3 linked regions of the Ovis aries genome follow. The protein of the gene in region 1 interacts with the protein of each later gene in a pairwise test. Links are inferred from orthologs where the notes say so. Each region holds a gene or a part of one and is shown in the gene's direction. Other genes may lie near its edges.

The links.
Region 2: the proteins of SPRY2 (region 1) and ZDHHC17 interact in binary tests that used the Homo sapiens proteins (3 or more experiments, as listed by UniProt). The link is inferred for Ovis aries from reciprocal best matches to the Homo sapiens genes SPRY2 and ZDHHC17.
Region 3: the proteins of SPRY2 (region 1) and PRKAB2 interact in binary tests that used the Homo sapiens proteins (3 or more experiments, as listed by UniProt). The link is inferred for Ovis aries from reciprocal best matches to the Homo sapiens genes SPRY2 and PRKAB2.

What each region holds. Positions count from the first base shown.
Region 1 is NC_056063.1:55,940,131-55,943,274, reverse strand, and holds the end of SPRY2 (protein sprouty homolog 2), read left to right. Parts: intron 1-694; 5' UTR 695-745; coding exon 746-1,693; 3' UTR 1,694-2,517; downstream 2,518-3,144.
Region 2 is NC_056056.1:112,711,658-112,715,315, forward strand, and holds part of ZDHHC17 (palmitoyltransferase ZDHHC17), read left to right. Parts: intron 1-1,880; coding exon 1,881-1,945; intron 1,946-2,594; coding exon 2,595-2,757; intron 2,758-3,658. UniProt on the Homo sapiens protein: Palmitoyltransferase that catalyzes the addition of palmitate onto various protein substrates and is involved in a variety of cellular processes.
Region 3 is NC_056054.1:98,147,471-98,151,128, reverse strand, and holds part of PRKAB2 (5'-AMP-activated protein kinase subunit beta-2), read left to right. Parts: intron 1-1,548; coding exon 1,549-1,715; intron 1,716-2,542; coding exon 2,543-2,636; intron 2,637-2,852; coding exon 2,853-2,973; intron 2,974-3,658. UniProt on the Homo sapiens protein: Non-catalytic subunit of AMP-activated protein kinase (AMPK), an energy sensor protein kinase that plays a key role in regulating cellular energy metabolism.

The sequences.
Region 1 (3,144 bases):
AGGTGTAAGTTTGCTCTATTGTATTCCTGGCACCTAACAGGATTTAAATTGATGTGTTTTCAATTCTATAACTTCGTGCTACTATATAGTTAATGATAATGCATGATTGTTGTATAAAGTGTATATTCCTGGGGAAGAGAAGTATTTACCCTTTTTTTGCATGTCATTTCATCCTATGAGATTTTGTAAAGTCACAGAATAGTTCAAGCTGTTTAATGTAAAAGCAGATGTTAAGTAGGAACCAAGAATTTCTAGGCTGTATCTATTGAAGTTCCAGGCAAAAATGACCATAAGTTGAAACCTATTTCACACTTTGAAAAGGTATTCATTCAGCTTTTGAAAATGTCAGTATGAATGTTATATTCCAAGAGTACTTTCCTGCAGTTTTTACAGGGAACTTGAACCTTGCAGATTTTGTGCTTATACGAGTAAGGAATCCTTACTCGTGATTGAAGCAAAGATCAGTTTGGTGTCACTACACTTCACAGGATTAAAGAACGGTGGATACCTAGCTGTAATTTTTACTTTCGGGTACAGGTGTGGATAAGACGGCCATCCTAATACGTTCCACAGCCACTCCATTTTCAAAGTCTGTTTCTCCAGGGAACGTGGGGAGTGAAGAGTTAAGCCAGGTGGGTGGAGAGTGGGTAGTATTCTGGAGTGTAAACTGTCTCCTTCCTCTTGGTTTCCGCAGGAATTCAGATGTGTTCTAAGCCTGCTGGAGTGACTACACTTCCCAGACCTGATGGAGGCCAGAGCTCAGAGTGGCAGCGGGTCGCAGCCGTTGCTGCAGACACCCCGTGACAGTGGCCGGCAGCGTGGGGAGCCTGACCCCAGGGACGCCCTCCCCCAGCAGGTACACGTGCTATCTCTGGATCAGATCAGGGCCATCCGGAACACGAATGAGTACACGGAGGGGCCCACTGTGCTCCCCAGAGCTGGGCTCAAGCCTGCTCCTCGCCCCACGACCCAGCACAAACACGAAAGACTCCACGGGCTGCCGGAGCCCCGCCAGCCCGCCCGGCCCCAGCACCCACCGGCCCACCCTTCAGCCAGGGCCCCTCTGGCCCGGTCCATCAGCACAGTCAGCTCGGGCTCTCGCAGCAGCACGAGGACAAGTACTAGCAGCAGTTCCTCCGAACAGAGGCTCCTAGGATCCTCCTTCTCCTCGGGGCCTCTGGCAGACAGGATCATCCGAGTGCAGCCCAAATCGGAGCTCAAGCCAGGTGAGCTGAAGCCACTGAGCAAGGAAGATGTAGGGCTGCACGCCTACAAGTGTGAGGACTGTGGCAAGTGCAAGTGCAAGGAGTGCACCTACCCGAGGCCTCTGCCGTCAGACTGGATCTGCGACAAGCAGTGCCTTTGCTCGGCCCAGAATGTGATCGACTACGGGACCTGCGTGTGCTGTGTGAAGGGTCTCTTCTATCACTGTTCCAACGACGATGAGGACAACTGTGCGGACAACCCGTGCTCTTGTAGCCAGTCACACTGTTGTACACGTTGGTCAGCCATGGGCGTCATGTCCCTCTTTCTGCCTTGCTTGTGGTGTTACCTGCCAGCCAAGGGTTGCCTTAAATTGTGCCAGGGGTGTTATGACCGGGTGAACAGGCCCGGATGCCGTTGTAAAAATTCAAACACAGTTTGCTGCAAAGTTCCCACTGTCCCACCCAGGAACTTTGAAAAACCAACATAGCATCATGAATCAGGAAGATTGCAGTCATAAGGATTATTTCCCTCTGCCCCTCTTTTTTTTTTTTTTTTTTTTTTAATACACATATGCAACCAACTAAACAGCTAGAATCTTGGCACTGTTGATAGAGGGTTGGGATATCCTGTGCTGTTTGCAGTGAAATGCTTTTTTCATCCATGTGCCATTTTAATTGATATGCTTGTTAGAACTCAGCTAGTGGAGCTCAGAGTGTGGAATACAGACCTTGGTGACCTACATGTTGCATAAGCTAAAGCAATAGACACTCTAGGTGAAGTTTTTGTTTGTGAATAGTACTTGCAAAATTTGTAAATTAGCAGATGACTTCCCCTCTCCCTTCCCCCACCCCCCGATTGTTTTCTCCAGAGATAATGTGCTATATTTTTGTATATACAATAATATTTGCAACTGTGAAAAACAAGTTGTGCCGTACTATACGGCACATTCACAAAATATTATACTAATATGTTGTACATTCGGAAGAATGTGAATCAATCAGTATGTTTTTAGATTGTATTTTGCCTTACAGAAAGCCTTTATTGTAAGACTCTGATTTCCCTTTGGACTTCATGTATATTGTACAGTTACAGTAAAATTCAACCTTTATTTTCTAATTTTTTTCAACATATTGTTTAGTGTAAAGAATATTTATTTGAAGTTTTATTATTTTATAAAGAAGAATATTTATTTTAAGAGGCATCTTACAGATTTTGCCCCTTTTATGAGGATGTGATAGTTGCTGCCAATGAGGGGTTACAGATGCATATGTTCAATATAAAATAGAAAATATATTAACGTTTGAAATTAAACTGAGCTGTATTGTCTTATTTTACATTTTCTTTTTTTTTTTCTTTTTTTTTGAAGTGAAAAAGAAACCATTTTAGAAATAGCATTTCAGTGACAGACATAGTTTCAGTTATCTGTGAGATACTCTTATGCTTGCTGCTTTAAAGTAAAGTGGAGATTTGGTGATTTTCAGGGGTAATTCTAGCAATCAGGAGAGAAATAATTGAGCACTTGACTCACTTAGTATTAATCATAGGAGGGCTCATTTTGGCTGCTCTTGTTTTGCTGATTTGCAGACTAGCCTTTGCTTTGCAGGTTTAAAAAAAAATCTTAAGTAATTCATTCAGGAGACTTACCTAAAAGATGAACCATTAGACTTTTTTTTAATATAAAGTTATTAAGAATGAATGTCAAGGCTGATTTAAGACCAGAGGAATGAATTTGGTTCAACATTTATTGACCAGTCTCTATGTTTCAGGCATGCAGTATACACAGATCAATGCTTATAATTGAGGCAAAATGTTTTCTTGACTTAACTGGCCGTGTTTTTCCTAGTCTCTGGTTTTAGACTGTTAGGCTTATCACCATGATACAAGAAAAAGACATGGAAAATATAACTTGTTTTGATTCAGGTACTGGGTATCAAGGAA
Region 2 (3,658 bases), on another chromosome or scaffold:
ATTTGTAGTGATAAGGCACAACATTTAACTATAGTTTTCATGAGACAGACTAAAATTAGTGATGTCCAAGGAGGATATGTTATCATTTGTCTCGGCTCTTTTTCTCTTTACCTCAATATATTTGGACGTTGGAGACATACTCCCATCAGTGAGAGTGGCTTGCAGAGAACTGCACGTAGAGTTATGAAGCGTTCTAACAGTGCACGCACTATGACTACGTTCTCTCCGCTGGGCGGTGGATTAGACAGCATATGTTGGATAACATCTGCAGGTTTGATGTAGTCCAGGAATAGGAGATGGGGACGGGATGAAGGGGAAACAATTTTTATTGAATGTCTGTTATAGGATTAGGTTGCCTTACACACATCATTCCATTTAATCATCAGGGATCTTATGAAGCCATTATTTGTATTCACATTTGTAGATGGGAAAGCTGAGGTTCAGAGAATTATAGTAATTTTGCCAATTTTACAGTTAGTAAGTGATGGAGCTAGGAATTCAAAATCATGTCTGTCTTGTTCTAACACCCATGCCTTTCCCAAGCCTAGAAGAGTAGATAGATAAACTTGTCTTTTCATTTAACAGATGGTTTTTGATTATTCTCCGTGCCCCGAAAAGTAGATACAAAGATGATTTTAAAACAATTTTGATCTTTAAAGAAGTCCTGTTCTAGTTAATGAGACAGATGCCTCAGGTACATAGCAGAATCAAGCCAAATTGATTGCTGGAGTGGGTCAAGAAAGAATTTTAGGGAAGTGAAATGAATAGAGTCTCTGATACATTAGCATGTCTTAAAAGAAGCTTTAGATAACTTGAGAAGAGTTTGGGTTGAATAGGTTGTAGTTTTAATTCTAATTTGCTAAAAAGAAAAAAAAAAATTAAGCAAAAGGGAGAAAAAAATAGAGTACCAAGGAAAGCAAAAAGCTGGGTAGGAGAGAAAAAGTAATCATGGTTTCTACATAACTTTGTTGGGAATAGTATTCATATATATTTATAATAATGTAAGCATCAAATATTTACAGAACCTGAATTATTATCTCTTCAGAGGAAGGACTAGGAAAGGTGCATGCCTGTGATGGGCCAGTGAGAAGAGAGAGAACATGCCATTTTACATGCTGAGGTTGTGTAAAATATGGATGTTGAGGATAATGCCTGAAACTGAAAAATCAAAAAGTGCCAATTCAGGTTTTTTATTTTAAGTATGTGGGAGTAAAAAGCACAATAAATAATGAGTTTTTAAAAAATGAAAATGGTAGGGACTAAGACAAAGGATTGCTTTATTACCTTGCTTTTTCACCACAGACTTTGTCTAGATAGTTAATTCTAAAAATATTTATGCATAGTGATATAGTGATAAGAAGCATTTTAAAACAAGGAACAAATTCAGTAAATTTTAGTAGATTCAGAACATTTGACTCTTTTAAAATTTATTGAATTTATTCTGTGTTTTAAAATGTCTAGAAATAAACAGGGTTTTATTATTCCCTCATATCATGAATTAATATAAATAAGTTTTTCAGAGACAGAAGTCATTTATTTAATCTGTCCATTGTGGGTGAAAGATCAAGGGTAGGTCAAGATCTTTAAAAGGCTGAGTGAAGCATCTTAAAAGAGAAAACTATAAATAGAAGTTAATTAAATATTAAATACATGTTTTTATTTATAAATAAGTAACACATATCCATATTAATTTGAATATTTAATATTAATAAATATTGAATAGTTTTACTTTAAAGTTAAGAAAGGAAAAGTTTCATAAATCAACCTTGACTGAGTGGTGTCCTCATGTCGGCTTCTTTTGTGATGTGTAAATTACGTTTTTCTAAGTACATGTGGTAGGGACTTAGACATTTTTACTGTCTGACTTTTTACTCTATCAGGATGTAGATATGATGGATCAGAATGGGATGACGCCTTTAATGTGGGCAGCTTATAGAACACATAGGTATGTAACCATTATGAAATACTTATTCAGATCATTTTCAGCATGATAAAATGTAAAACAAGTGATGAGAAAAAGCAATTAATGTTATACTTATTAGTATTTAAAATTCTTACCATGAATATGTAGTATATAACACAGATTATCCTTTTGGGTATTTTGAGTCTTTATGTTTACCTTTATGTTGGCAATTGTAGTGCCCTTAAGGTAGTCTTAAGCAGTTTCCAAGAATGGAAGATGCTACCTTCTTATTAAAAGTATAACTCATTTTTTATATGACTGGCATATTGGCAAGTTTAACATTAATAAGTTGCCTTAAATCATTTTTGGAACAATCTAGATTTAAATTTAAAATTTTAATTGTTTAAGTATTTAAATACTAATGACATTAACTCCATGATGTAGAATATAAACATTAGGACCAAGTGTGCTCTCTCTTGGAACTAGTTTACTTTACGTTCTGTGATGTAGAACATACTTAATTCTTCATGTTAAAAATGTTGTCTCATTACTCATTATAAAGTTGTCGAAAATAGGTTAGAATAGAAGTGTTCCAAGATGGAATATAACCACAATCAGTTTAGTGTCTGTAATGATTTCTATAATTGAAATTAGGGTTGTTGTTGTTGTTGTGTTTTTTTTTCCTTTTCAGTGTGGATCCAACTAGATTGCTTTTAACATTCAATGTTTCAGTTAACCTTGGTGACAAGTATCACAAAAACACTGCTCTGCATTGGGCAGTACTAGCAGGGAATACCACAGTCATTAGTCTTCTTCTGGAAGCTGGAGCTAATGTTGATGCCCAGAATATCAAGGTAAAAATAGCCTTTATTGATTGTGCTTTGTGAAATGTGATTACCAAGATTGGAATTCTTTAATAAAACTTAGGTTTTTTAATAGACTGTCAGAGGTGGAAGAAACTTACTTACTCTCAACCCTTTGCTTCCATGCAAGAATTTGTTTTGAAAAACTAATTTATTTATTTTCGTCTTTTAGTATTGAAGTATTTTTCAGATTTTGGTGACCTTTTCATTAGTGAATTCTTACTGACTTTTATCTCTTTATAGCTGAATAGATAGTTTTCTGATTTCTTTAAGAAGATTATTGCACTAAGATCCCACATGTGGCACCACGTAACCTAAGTAAATAATATCATTGCAGAGAATCACAGATTTTTATCCCAAGTATGCATAATAACTTTGAGTAATTTCTTGACTTGGTCATTAATTATCTTATTTTTATAAAGGTCAAGACCTTTACATTTGATAATCACCTCTGTGATATTTGTAGGAGAATTTCTCTCCCCTAAATGCTAGAGTAATCCAAGAAAAATGTACCCCCAAAATACAAAATGTTAACATTTACACTCTGAGCATTTTAGAAATTTATAGACATTTTTATGAATACCTGCAGGAAAATTCTGTTGATAATCTTAAATTTTGGTTAACCATTCTCAGTGTTAAAACTTGTCTTTTAGCAACAGACTTTTTCTGTGAAATGACTTTAAAATTTTAAACATCTTTTAATAATGTGCCTTCTTAAATAACTTTGTACTTATTAAGAAATGTTGTTTAATTTTGACTATAAGCCATAGTATTTTCTTAGTCATGCCTCTTAAATTTCTAAGGAATATATGCTATTTAAATATTAAAGGAATTTGAAATGCATAATAATCTAAAATGGCAATCAAAAAGTTGGTTATCTCCTGCTGGATCA
Region 3 (3,658 bases), on another chromosome or scaffold:
AGGATTATTGTCTGGGAAGCTTCTTAAAAATAGAGTCCCAGGTCCTATATCTGAATCAGAATCTGAGGCATATATAATTGTTAGGAATGTAAAAATTTCTATAATTCTAATCCAGACTGTCAAATGAGTTCATTGCTTTGAGAAAATGGAGATCAAGTTTTTCTCTTAAGTCACTTCCTTATATAATGTGAAAGTTCCTTCAGTTCTCATTGTTTACTAAGGATTTTGTTGCCACTAACGTCTTATACTGTAGTTTTGAGGAATATTCAGAGACAGTATGGAAGGTTGACTGCCTCAGCCATTTTGAAAGTAAAGCGCAAGTGAATAGTCTTTTTTTTTTATCCCACATTATTTTATTTGGTATTAATAATATTTTGGCTTGATACCATAAAGACTTATTTACCAAAGTCATTTAAGCCACTCTAAAGTGTGGGTCAACAAGCTTTTTCTGTAAAGGGCCAGATAGTAAATATTTTAGACTTTGTGGTAGACCATACAGTCTCTGTCACTGATATTCAGTTCTGCCATTGCAGCATGAAAGCAGCTATAGAAAATGAGAAAGTGAATGAGTGTGGCTATTTTCCAATGAAACTTATAAAAGCATCTGGCTCACTGGCCATAGTTTGCCAGTTTCTGTTCTAAAGGATGGTAATGAAAATAAACTTGACTAAGGAGTCAGTTTTCTTCTGCAACCCTACATACCTCATTTGATATGGGAACCACTTTTTTAAAGGAAACTGTGTTTTTGATCCGATGCTTCTTGTAGCTCCACAATTTTCATCCCTACTCCTGAAAATTACTAGTATAAGCCTGACATGGATGAATAAGTAAGATTTCATAACTATTTCTCAAAATTTAGGAAACCAGTGATCTGATTTTTATGTATTTAATGTCTTTTTATAACCTATTAACTAAAGAGGAAATTATGAATTATTTAAGAATTTTAGTATCTCTAATTTCTATTACAACTGATAATTGAGATGCTTATATTTACATATGAAAAATACATGGCTCAGGACTTCCTTGGTGGTCCAGTGATTAAAACTCTGTGCTTCCGCTGCAGGGGTGAGGGTTTGAATCCTTGGTTGGGGAACTAAGATCCTGCATGCTGCATGGCACAGCAAAAGAAAAAAAATAGATGACTAACTTAATTATTTTTTGTAGAACTGTGCTTTATTTTGATATTTTTCTCTTAAGAGATAAGCATATCATGATTGTCTGCCTATGAGTTAATCTGGTGACAGGAAGTAAGATTTTTTGTTTGTTTGTATTTTAAGGGACATCCCAAGACTCTGAAAGGATGAGTGATTCATGCAGACTCAGAAATTAAGCTGTGATTTGGGCAGACTTTGGGCATAAGCCATTTGACCATTTGGGTCCTAGATGAGTTTCTTTTCTATAGTTTTGTTCAAAATTTGAAGTAGTTGCTCATTTCAAGACTTATTAATCCTTATCAGAAATGTAGCACCCCTCTCTGCCCTAAGGAGGAGAGTGACCTTTTCAGAATTCCAGGGACACAATTTAGGGATGACCTAATCCTTCTTACAGCTCCCTGGGGACAAAGAGTTTGTATCATGGCAGCAGGATTTGGAGGACTCCGTAAAGCCCACACAGCAGGCCCGGCCCACTGTTATCCGCTGGTCTGAAGGAGGCAAGGAGGTCTTCATCTCTGGGTCCTTCAACAATTGGAGCACCAAGATTCCACTGATTAAGAGGTGAAGACAAGTGTCTTGGTTGAGTCTGCTGGGTCCAGGAGTAGAGACCCAATTCCCTTTCTCAGGAGAGAGACTTGGCTGGACTACTCCTCTCCACCTGCTAGGGACTTTCTCTAGAACATTTTTTGTGACCAGTAACTATATCTGTGACATTTTTTTTAACCTTATAGTGAGTCAGAGATGTTTTACCACTTAGAATGTCATTGCCTCAGAGGGACTTCCAACAGTTTTGGAGGTATGTTCTTTAGGATTGTGTTAATAGAAGTCCTTTCTATGCTTGTGGGAAGTCTCCCGTAACTGCCTGAGTCCAGTTGCCCTGACTTCTGCACTAAAACAAAACACGTTGTAAAGTTCTAGGTAGTAATGTTATTTGTTGCTTGCAGAGCAACAATGAGTTATGTAACTGACTATGGCCCTTTGTATATAGGTAATTTTCTAGAAAATGCTCACCAAAATGTGGAAAGAGTACCTTGAGGCACTTCATATCCTGAACCTACTTGCTATCTTTTTTACACTCCTGAGGGATCTGTTCTGCTGAAGCAAAATAGTTGTACTAAAGTGAAACATTCTGGGGGATTAATATCTTTATTGTTCTTTTTCAGATATTAGTTAAAAATTAAAGTTGTTAGGAGGGATAGCAAATACATGCTCAAGGGGATATAGAAAAGGAGAATGGGTTTATAAATTATTTTTCACTCCAGGGGGTGCAATCACTTAGGAATGTGGGAGATCACTGGTATGATACTGTGATTGCCTCATGGTTTTACATTTATCTTCTGTCTTCTAATAAGAATTTAGCCTGTTTAACTTTCTGTTTTCTTCTGTAGCCATAATGACTTTGTTGCCATCCTGGACCTCCCTGAGGGAGAGCACCAGTACAAGTTTTTTGTGGATGGACAGTGGGTTCACGATCCATCAGAGGTAAGACCTTGACCTCCGAGGGTAACCACTGGCTTAACAGTCTCCTTTTAGCTGTTATTCCGCTGGGTGTCAGATATCATTGCTGTTGGATTTCCCTGTTGATAAAAGATGGTGGTGTCAAGTATAATCTCTTCTAAAAAGAGGAGAGTTGAATGGATGAGATGTATTTGAAATGGGGATTCATGAATTTTTTTTTTTTTCCATTCACTGTTTCAGCCTGTGGTTACCAGTCAGCTTGGCACAATTAACAATTTGATTCATGTCAAGAAATCTGATTTTGAGGTGTTTGATGCTTTAAAGCTAGATTCAATGGAAAGCTCAGAGACATCTTGTCGAGGTAATTTTGTAGTATTTGCTCTTTCTTGATCTTTCCTTTCTTAAAATGCATGTTTCTTCCCAAGAGTGGTTTTTGTTTTTTTCATTTTCGACTTAGGAATCTTCCAAATTGTATGTATGTTTCTCCTGTAAACATTTAGGTCATATTCTCAGAGAATGAAATCTGTGTAATGTGTTTGATTTCACAGTAAGTGAAAGTAAATATATTTGATCTACATTAAATTTACATTGTAACCCAACACACACATCACACAAACCAGTAACATGTCTTGCACTATGATGTTTGCCTTTATTACATGTGAAGCACTTTATTTTCTACTTTATTCTTCTTTTTATAAACGACTAATGTGCTGTGATCTATAGTTTAAAAAGCTATTTCTAATAATATTTCAGTTTTTTCATTGACCTTTGACAGTATCAACTAGCAGGAGCTACTTATGTCTCCTGTGCCATGTTTAGCTGCCTCAACTTAATCCCGCCAGATTGATAGCTTAGTTGGCAGTTGTATATTTAATAGGCCCTACCCATATGGCAGTCTTTGGGGAAAAAAGAGTTATAAAAACCTCAAATTTCTTTTGTGTATATGTTAACTGAAATTTTTAAAGTTTTGGGTTAAAAAAAAAAAATCCTCAATAGAGGAATAGATCTCTATGCTTTTGTTTCTCCCAGTATTTTTTCCAAGGCCT